Rattus norvegicus: one gene and its partner. The protein of the gene in region 2 purifies or fractionates together with the protein of the main gene of each other region. This does not show direct contact. Links are inferred from orthologs where the notes say so. Each region holds a gene or a part of one and is shown on either strand. Other genes may lie near its edges.

What was found.
Region 1: the proteins of Slc31a1 (region 2) and B3gat3 purify together in Homo sapiens (co-immunoprecipitation; 3 studies listed by BioGRID and IntAct, with this or other methods). This does not show direct contact. The link is inferred for Rattus norvegicus from reciprocal best matches to the Homo sapiens genes SLC31A1 and B3GAT3.

The regions. Positions count from the first base shown.
Region 1 is NC_086019.1:215,248,826-215,254,004, reverse strand, and holds the end of B3gat3 (galactosylgalactosylxylosylprotein 3-beta-glucuronosyltransferase 3), read right to left. Parts: intron 2,674-5,179; coding exon 2,313-2,673; intron 2,131-2,312; coding exon 1,840-2,130; intron 1,490-1,839; coding exon 1,391-1,489; 3' UTR 1,003-1,390; downstream 1-1,002. Other genes in the region: Rom1 (rod outer segment membrane protein 1), read left to right, coding at 16-262, 356-574. UniProt on the Homo sapiens protein: Glycosaminoglycans biosynthesis. Involved in forming the linkage tetrasaccharide present in heparan sulfate and chondroitin sulfate.
Region 2 is NC_086023.1:80,851,006-80,855,663, reverse strand, and holds part of Slc31a1 (high affinity copper uptake protein 1), read right to left. Parts: intron 2,123-4,658; exon of another isoform or gene 2,104-2,122; intron 1,927-2,103; 5' UTR 1,875-1,926; coding exon 1,755-1,874; intron 1,358-1,754; coding exon 1,285-1,357; intron 1-1,284.

The sequences.
Region 1 (5,179 bases), on a different chromosome or scaffold from region 2:
TCTATGTCTCTGCAGCCGGATCCAGAGCAACGTGGAAGGTTTATATCTGATTGATGGAGTGCCCTTCTCCTGTTGTAACCCCCACTCACCCCGGCCCTGCCTGCAAAGCCAGCTCTCAGACCCCTATGCCCATCCACTCTTCGATCCTCGGCAGCCCAACCTAAACCTGTGGGCCCAAGGGTGCCACGAAGTGCTCGTGGGGCACCTGCAGGGTTTGTCCGGCACACTGGGAAGTATTCTGGCTGTCACCTTATTGCTGCAGGTCAGTCAGACAAGGGCCCTGACTCCTTCTACTTTCAGCCCTGTGGCCCCAAATCCACTGACAATCACCCTTTCTACTTGCTTCTCCTTACAGGTTCTTGTGCTCCTTGGTTTGCGGTATTTGCAGACAGCGCTGGAAGGCCTTGGAGGAGTCATTGATGGGGAAGGAGAGACCCAGGGCTATCTTTTGCCTGGTGGGCTGAAAGACATACTGCAAACTGCATGGCTACAGGGAGGGCTTGCCCACAAGCCAGCACCTGAGGAGGCCCCACCAGATGAGGAACCTCCCAAGGAAGTTCTAGCTGAGGCCTAGAAACCTGAAGGGGTCGTCGGGGTGGGAAGGGGAAAGATGGACAAATATGGAGAACTCAGAATCCTTTACTCAGGCTCAGGGAAAGAGTGGTTCCTGGGATTACAGGAGTTAGAGCAATCAGAGCTGGACTGTGACAAGGTCCAGTGTCCTGAAGCCCAGCCATTGCGGTCAAAACCACCAAGGCTGAGAAGAGATGAGGGTGAGAGGGAAGTGACAGCCAACGGACTGAAGACTCTTTCTAGTATTCAGACTCTACAATAAAGTTTGTGGACAGAAGTCACTGCTCTCTCTCTTGTCAAGGGGAAGGGGGCAGGAAGGACTGTGCAGAGGAGGAGCCCAGCCTGTCCTGTGTAGGAACAGGCACCCGGTCTCTTGAGATCAGAGAGCAGCAAGCAGGTTTGCCAAGTGAGGGGAACCATGAAGCCCCTCTGGGTTGAGATTCTTTATTCTAGAGGTAGGAAGGGGATCAGCATGCTCAGGTGGGGAGGGTCCAGCCCAGCTCCTCTAGCCCCCCACTGCATGCTTGTCCCCAATAAGTTACCCTCCCTCCTGAGTCCATCTGTCCTGCTCCACCCCAGATGGGGCTGACCTGGCTCACTACAGAAGCTGCTTGTCCCCAGCCTGTGGGCAGTGCCACATGGCAGGCTGGAAGAAGGCAGAGAAGCAACTGGGCCACACCCTGTGGTTGGAGGGGCTGCCTCTGGTTCTGAGGGATCAGGTCTTAAAAAAAAAAAAAGCCACATCCTGGGCTGGCCTGGAGCCCAGTCCCACAAGGTATGTGCCTAAAATAAGGTAGAAGTCAGGGTGAGATTGCCATCACACCTCAATAGCTGGGTCTGACCCCTGGCCCTGTCGCTGTAGCTGTTCCTCCTGCTTCATCTTCGGTTTCTCTGTCCGGGTATGCCACACCAGTACCTGTGAAGGAAGGTCTAGGGTTAAAACCAGCCATAACCAGGGCCTCGGGTATGTGATCTAAAACCGATTTCCCCCCACCCCACCTCTTCTACATTCAGAGTTGGTATACAATGTATGACATATTGTGCTGGGGGAACTTTACTGTCTCTAAAATGGGACTTTGTTCCTTGTCTGTCTGATGCACACATGGGTTCACAGAAGTCTGTATGATGAAATGCAGGAGCCATACCCTGACTCTCAGTAGCCTTTGAAAGCAAAGTTGGTGAGATATGTGGAGGGTTTCTCCTGGCTCCAACACACATTCCCCCTTCTGTTAGCTGCTCCCCTGGAGTGTTCCTCCAGCCTCTTACCTGAGTACAGTTGGCAGCCCGGGGCTCCAGGTCCTTGGGATCTACAAGATGGCTCAGGAGACTACTTTCCAGGTGGCCCCGGGGTGCAGTAGCATCAAACTGGGCATTAGGCTTAGCCAGCAGCAAGGGCAGGGAAACTGCAAATCCTGCCATGTCCAGGGGAAAGGGCCTGTTGGGTTCCCATGCTGTGTGGAAACCCACAACACGGCCATCCTGTACCCGAGGGCCCTCAAATCGCAGGCCGCCCACCAGCCCCACAGGCCACACTGAGACACCACGAGTCCAACGCATCTGATGGAGAGGAGAGAAGAAACAGAGAGGGGAGGTCCAAGGAAAAGAACTACTTTGTTTACTGACACCCCTTCCCTACTGTTCCCCATCTTCCCGCACCAGCCCACATCAACACGGTAAGCAAGAGAAAGAAGGACACTGGTCCCTCCTGGCTCTTTCTCCATCTTCATCCCAGGGCTCACCTCCTTAAAGAGCTCCCGGCTGTAGGTGTTATCATCGTCAGCAAAATACACGACTCCTTGGGTGCCTGGTGGTGGTGAGTCCTTCTCTCCCCCTACAGCACCCCCTTTTCCTCTGAGCCAGTCCAGGGCTTTGTTGCGCTGTTCTACTCCTCGGGGCCGGACCCAGCCTGGCTCACCTTCCCTAAGCCGCTGAGCCTTGGGGGTAAGGACAGCCAGGTGTGTGAAGAGGAGACCAGAGGCAGCCAACAGCCCCGAGACCAGCGGGGTAGGGCTCTCAGCATCCTCCACCAGCAGCCAGTGTAGACGGGGCACCAAGCTCAGGGTCTGGGACAGCCGAACCAGCTCTGCCTTCTGTACTAGCCTGCAGTGGGAGATGCAGGAAGGAAGGGGCCAGGTAATCCTGGTCCTCTACACTGAGAATGACAGCTGCTCCTGGTCACCGTTAGCATGTTCTCTGGCAATTCCCCTAGCGCTCGCGCCCTCTCTCTCTCTCTCTCTCTCTCTCTCTCTCTCTCTCTCTCTCTCTCTCTCTCTCTCTCTCTGTGTGTGTGTGTGTGTGTGTGTGTGTGTGTGTGTGTGTGTGTGTGTGTTACTTAGGATGGAGCCCAGGATTTCAGGTATTCAAACAAGCATTGAGATACTGCCAAGTTACCTCCCTCTCCCTTGAGTGTCAATCAATTTCAGGCAGATATTCACCTGCCCCATCTTTCCAGTCCATGGTCATAACTTCCTTAACCAGGACTCAGGCTGGGGCAAGACTGTAGGACAAATGACATGGGATCATATGGATCTGGGTTTGAATCATTTTGTAAGTTGTTTTTTGACACAGGGTCTCGAGTAGCTAAGCTGGCTCAAACTCATATGCTAATGATGGTCTTGAATTCCTGCCCCTTCTGTCTCTGCCTCTGCCTCTGCCTCCCAATGCTGTTATGCTACCACATCCATTTTTATCAAGTGAAATACTTTGAGAAATGGCTTAATCTGAGCCTCATTGACTCGGGAATAAAACTGGATTAGAAAGAAGGGCACAGCTGCACACACCTTTAATCCCAGCATTTGGGGAGACAGAGGTAGACTGACCTCTCTGTGGAGTTTGAGGCCACTTTGGTCTACATAGCAAGTTCTAAGAGAGCCAAGACATTACATAGATGCTGTGTCAAAAAAGTAAATAAATAGGCCAGGTGCTTGTGGCCCACGCCTTTAATCCTAGCACTAAAAAGACAGAAGCTGATGGACCTCTGAGTTTGAGGCCACCCTGGTCTATAGAGAGAGTTCCAGAATAGCCAGAAGGCTACACAGAGAAACCCTGTCTCGGAAAACCAAAATTAATTAATTAATTAATTTAATTAATATGGACTGGAAATGTAGCTCAATGATAACATGTTTGCTAGCCGGTATGCAGTTCAATCCCCAGTAACAAACTAATAAAAAAAATAGTGAATATTTTGTAACAGTTCTATTATTGGCTTTTTGAGACAGTCTCATACTGTAGCTCAGGCTAGCCTCAAACTAAACAATTTTCAGGGCTCAATTTGAGTGTTGATACTTACAAGTTTGTCATCGTGTCTAGCTACAATATTATTCAGTTTTAGGGATTGAACCCAAGGTTTTGTACATGCTATACAAGCACTCTGCCACCAAGTTACACCTCCCAGACAAAGATATATTTTAGGAAAATGAGATGACCTGGTCCTGGTGGCACACACTTTTAGTCCCAGCATTCAGGAAGCAGAAGTAGACAGATCTTTGTGAGTGTAGACTAGCAGACTAGCATGGTCTACACAGTAAACTACCAGCCAGCCAGTGTGAGACCTTACTTCAAATTAAAAAAAGAAAGGAAGGAAGGAAAGAAGGAAGGAAGGGAGGAAGGAAATTAAAAGAAGGAAAAAAGGAAAAACGAGAGCTGGAGAAATGGTTAAGAGAACTTAATGGTCTTGTAGAGGACCAGTGTTTTATTCCCTTTTCTTTTCTTTTTTTTTTCCGGAGCTGGGGACCGAACCCAGGGCCTTAAGCGCTCTACCACTGAGCTAAATCCCCAACCCCAGTGTTTTATTCCCAATACCTTTCTCATCTCACAACCGCCTGCAACTCTAGTTCAGGGAATTCACTTCCCTCTTCTGGCCTTTGTTGGTGTCTGCACACTTTCAGTGCACATACATAATCCTCAGGCAAAAACATAAACAAAACAAAAAGTAAAGAAGTAAACAAAGTAACAAATTCTAATTTATTTTAACTAATTCGTTTTTAAAGACAAATGGGCTGGTTTGTTGGGTATGCCTTTAATCTTGGAAGGCAGAGGCAGAGAGGTGTTTGAGTCTGATCTACTGAGCAAGCCCCAGGCCAGCCATGGCTACACAGTGCTACCTTGCATCAAAAAATAAAAATAATGACAGAACCTCATTTTGTACCAATCCCTCTTCCGGCCCCTCAGTACTGGACATTATGAGGCATGAGTCAGCATGCTATGACTGGCAATACAATTTATCAAGTAAAACACTCTAGGGGATGGCTCAAGTCTCAAGTTTACTCAGGAATAAAGCTGGATTAGGAGGCTGGGCACAGTAGTGAACACACACCTTTAATCCTGTCATTTGGGAGACACAGGCAGGGGAATCTGCTTAGTCTACTGAGCTCCAGGGCAACCAGGGTTACAAAGAAAAACCCCCTCTTGAAAAACAACAAAATTAAGTAATAAAAATTAAAAATGAAACACTACAAGGCCAGGTTCTTTTCTTTCTGTGGTAAGGCTTCTGGAGAGGAGTTTTAGAGGAAATCCCGGTCATTCTCCAAATGAGAAAGTTATTTGTCTCTTTCTCTTGAACCAGAATCTCCCTGTGGAGCTCTGGTTGGCCTGGAACTCCCTACCT
Region 2 (4,658 bases):
ACCAAACCAAACCAAACCAAACCGAAAAAGCACCAGGCTAGGTCTGTGAATACACTGAGTGGTTGCATTTCTACCCATTTGGTAGAGCTGAGTGAGCATTAGTGAAAAATCACTGCCTCTGCTCACGACCATAGCTTTCCCATTATATCCAAACACATTATACAGAATACTGCAGAAGGCAGAGCAACTGTTGTTTTACTGTTCTACAGGGTTTTGTTGTGCAGCCCAGGTTGATCTTGGAGATTCTCCTGCCTCAGCCTCCTAAGCCATGGGATCAAAAGTGCTCACTGTCACACAGGCTAAAACAACCCGCTTTACAAGTGCTGCCTACGTAATTTGAAAGGCATTTTAAGGGATTAGGCATATATAGTTAAGCATTTAAGATGAATGTATTTATAGAACTAACATTTAACACACTACTAGGACTAAATGTTTTCTCTTTCTCTCCCAAAAGCAAATTGGTTTATTTCCAAAATAGGTTTGGTACCTTCTGCAGTAAAGTGACTTAATATTAAGCTCATGCATCTGTAATTTAAATGCAAAGCACACCACTATAAGACAGATACAGAGAGATAGATGACAGTGCCTTAAATGAAGAGCGGCTCTATGATAGGCCAAGCATCAGGAATATGGAAACCATAGTTTGATGCAGCAGAGAAAGCACTGGTTTAGAAGTTCTAGAAAGTATGGTCCTTGTTTTAGCTCTGAGGTACTAACTGTGTGATTCAGGCATGCCATTTCTACTACACAGGGGTAGGTTTATCTGTAAACAGGCAGTAATGAGATCAACACAGTTGTTTTGGGAGGCAGCATCTACATAGGTCCTGGCTATCTTTGAGCTCTCTATGAAGACTAGACTGGCCTTGAACTCACAAAGATCTTCCTGACTCTGTCTCTCAACTGCTGGGATTAAAGGTGTGTGTTTCCATATTTGGCAAGATCAACAGTTTTTAACCTAGGGTTACACTGTGATATTTGCATATGCTTATAATTTTAGGCCTAGGACCAGTAACTTAGCAAACAAGAAAAGGACTGCAAAAGATTTTTATCTAGCATTTTAATTATATTTTAGCGCTCCAAAGTATATGCATTAATACATGTACATTAATTAAAGGAAACTCACTGGAGGATCAAAAATGGCCTCTTGTGCTTAGGGACTAGGAATTGCAATGGTTATGCACAACCATACAGATCCCATGACAGAACAGAGAGAGGTGCTGGGTTTCCAAATCTAGAGTCATCTCTTATGACACTGTCATCTTCGAAGATTATCTGGTTACTCACCTCCAGGTGTGTTGATTACCAAACTGGAAAACAATAGGTCCACATTCTTAAAGCCAAAGTAGAAGGTCATAGGCTGCCAGAAAACCAAACGAGTCAGTTAGAGAAGACTGAGGATCCTAAAGGGAATCTGGGAGTCTCGGGCAATGAGACTTAGAACACTTAAAAGTAACCTGCCTGGATAAGAAGAAATACTTGAGGCAGTGGGAGGCTTACTACCTTGGCACTAAGAGCCCCCCGCCCCCAGTCCCATGTCTTTCTCTCTTTTCTACATGAAATACAAACACTAGGATTTAATTCAGGAAAAGGTGAATTTCAAAAGAAAGGGTTAGGGAAGAAAGAATTCTACAGAATCTTGGTTCTGGTGTCACTCTGTCACAAGCCTGCCACATGAACACTGGTAAGTCACTAGGCTTGCCTGGGGGATCTGCTGTGCTTTCCCTCTTGGGTAACCCCAAATGTGGAAGCCTTACCATCATCATCTCGTGGGAGTGTGAGGCCGAGGTGGTGGGGTGCTGGTGGGGTGGCATGGTGATGTTGTCGTCCGTGTGGTTCATCCCCATATGATGCATCTCCATGTGGTTCATCCTCATGTGGTCCGAAGGATCCAGTTTTCCAGAAAAAGATGAGAGTCAGCGCAAAGGTCTTTGAAGAAAAACAATTATATATTAGGAACGTAGAATTTTCTTGATAAATACTTTGTCTATACAGAATTTTGTCCAATGAACAAATGCTCTCCTAGATGCAGAGTAACTAGGACTACTAAGGATCGCCTTTGAGAAAAGGGACCAAGGGCTTGTCCTGAAGGCTTAAGATACTTACTCTGCAGAATCATTCCTCTAAGACACAGGTTTTAATGTGTGTTTAATTTAAGGTAGAAAAAAACAGCCCCTTTAGATGGCAGGGAATAGATAATTTGTAATAATGTATAAGTGTAAGCCATTTACAAAAGGTAATTGCTCTAAGGCTGTTTAATCATAAACAGCAGTAGATGAAAAGCCAAGACTTCACATAAGTCTCCTAATTGGGGTGGTCTGTGTAACCAGGATGCGCAGATTCCACTTAGGCCTAGAGGACAATTAACTTTGAGCTCATTTAAATCTGGAGAAAGGTCTGTTGCTGCCTCAGGCAAAGAGTGTGCCCAGACTTCAGAGACAGTTTTAGCTGCACCAGGACATTAGAGTTAAGAACATGAACAACAAGGTATAAATTAGATGAACTATATTAAATTAGGTTTGGACACTGCATAGTCAGCCTTGTGTCTTGCATCATGTTAATGCTTTTCTGCAGAGGTCAACATGAGTCAAGGGGCAGTAACTCCCACGGTTGCTGTGGAGACTGGGGAGTGGGGAGATATATGTGCAGAGGGAGATTTTCATAAAATCTGCCTTTTTCTTTTTTTTTTTTTGTTTTTTCAAGACAGGGTTTCTCTGTGTAGCCCTGGCTGTCCTGGAACTCACTCTGTAGCCTCAAACTCCGCCTCTCAGGTATGTGTCCTCCTCCTCTTTCCCCAATACAACAAGCCTGTCTTTCCTAAGTTTTATTTATTGTATGTGTATGGGTATTCTGCCTGCACGAGTGTGTAGTATCACTTGTGTGCAGTGCCCATGGAGGCCAGAAGAAAGTGCTAGATGCCCTGGAACCCAAGTTACAGACACAAGTGAGCCACTATGTGGGTGCTGGATATGGAGCCTGGACCTTTAGCAAAACCAGCAAGTTTGCTTAACCTCTGAGCCATATGCCTCCCTCCTGAAATCTCTTTGTGTCCCACACTTCCAGTATGTAGGAGAAATTCCAAATTGGAGCAGGGTGTGATGATACACACCTGTAATCTCAGCACTCAGGAGGTTGAGGGAGACAGACTCTGAGTCTGAGGCAATAGTGGGCTATATTGTGAGAACTTGTCTCAAAAAAGTAAAAGAAATTCCAATTAGGTATCCTTGGACTTGAGTCTGTGTATGCTTCTGATTACTCACTGATTAAGCTCCTATCAAGGGCCAAAGTACTAGTGATCCACAGCAAGCAAAGCAAAGCACCTGATGAGGAGAGAAGCGGTGAGGTGCACAGAATCACCTCATGACGTAATCAGTGCTCTGGAGCAAACAAGCAGCGCAGTGTAACATCGACGAGATGTCAGAGATGCTCCTCGAGCAGAGCGTTCATAGCCAGGAAGCTACATGCCCAACTCGAGAGCACAAATGTGCAGCCTCCCCTCCCACTTCCTACCCCATGACTCCATGACAGCAGGCTTACAAAATAGGCACAATTCTATCACTCAGGCAAGTTCCACTTTTCAGCTCCAGTCACTGTCATGCTAGACCCTCCATTATCATTATAGACTTGACAATGTATCTTCCTCTCAACACCATCGCTATGGTATTATGTGGTTTTGCTCATGAAAATTTTATAATAAACACCAAATAACAAAATATAATAGTGAGCCCACAAGTATCAACAATGAGACCATGGGTCAGCAGTCAGTAGCTTTGCTTTAAAAAAGAAAATGATGATGGAATGGTGGGATTATTGGTTATAACTTGGGATTCTGAACCAAATAAATGAAATGGCATCAGAATAAAAGGAGCCAGAATGACTAATAAAGACTCACAAACAGAAGGTACAAATGTTATTTTCTTCCAGTACAAGGCTAGAAGCGATAACAGAAAAGTACCAAAGATAATTTCATTCCACGTTATCAATAGGAATCCAGGCCATGAAGAGGCGGTGAGCATTTTATTGTGTTATTTCTGTGAGGCTGGGGAGATAAAGAAATGAACCAATCTTTCCTTAGAGTACACACCTCATGACGTACTCTTTAAGAGCAGGAACACAGCAACACAAACTACGTGAGTCCTGTACCCTTGATTTCTTCAAACTCTGCCAACACTGTATTTAATAGTATTTGAAGACCTGGAGGTTTCCTTTTGTTTAAGCCCCATGTTCCAATTAGAGAGAACTACTCAATGGTAAACTATCAAAAACTCTTCAGACAGCCCAGGGGCCCAGGAATTCATACACTCGTATGTTCAAAGCTCTAGCAAATCTTTAAACTCTGCACCTGCTCTGCACCTTCATGTGTGTAGGATGCATGCCACATTCACATGCACTAGGGAAGAGTGCAGGAAGACAATCTGCTTGTTTTTCTTGTAGTGGACAATGGACTTCTGTAATGGGAACCTTTTGCAAGGCTTACCCAGTGGAGTCTGAATAGGGAGATGCAGATTGGCGGAAATCAATATACAGTGTAGCTAAACTGCAATTTGAAGTTCTTGTGCTCACTAAGCTTACTCTGAGGATTGTAGCTCAGTGACATCATTTGCTTAGCATGCATGAGGCTCTAAGTGTGACCCTAGCAGTGAGGGAAAGATCCAACAGAA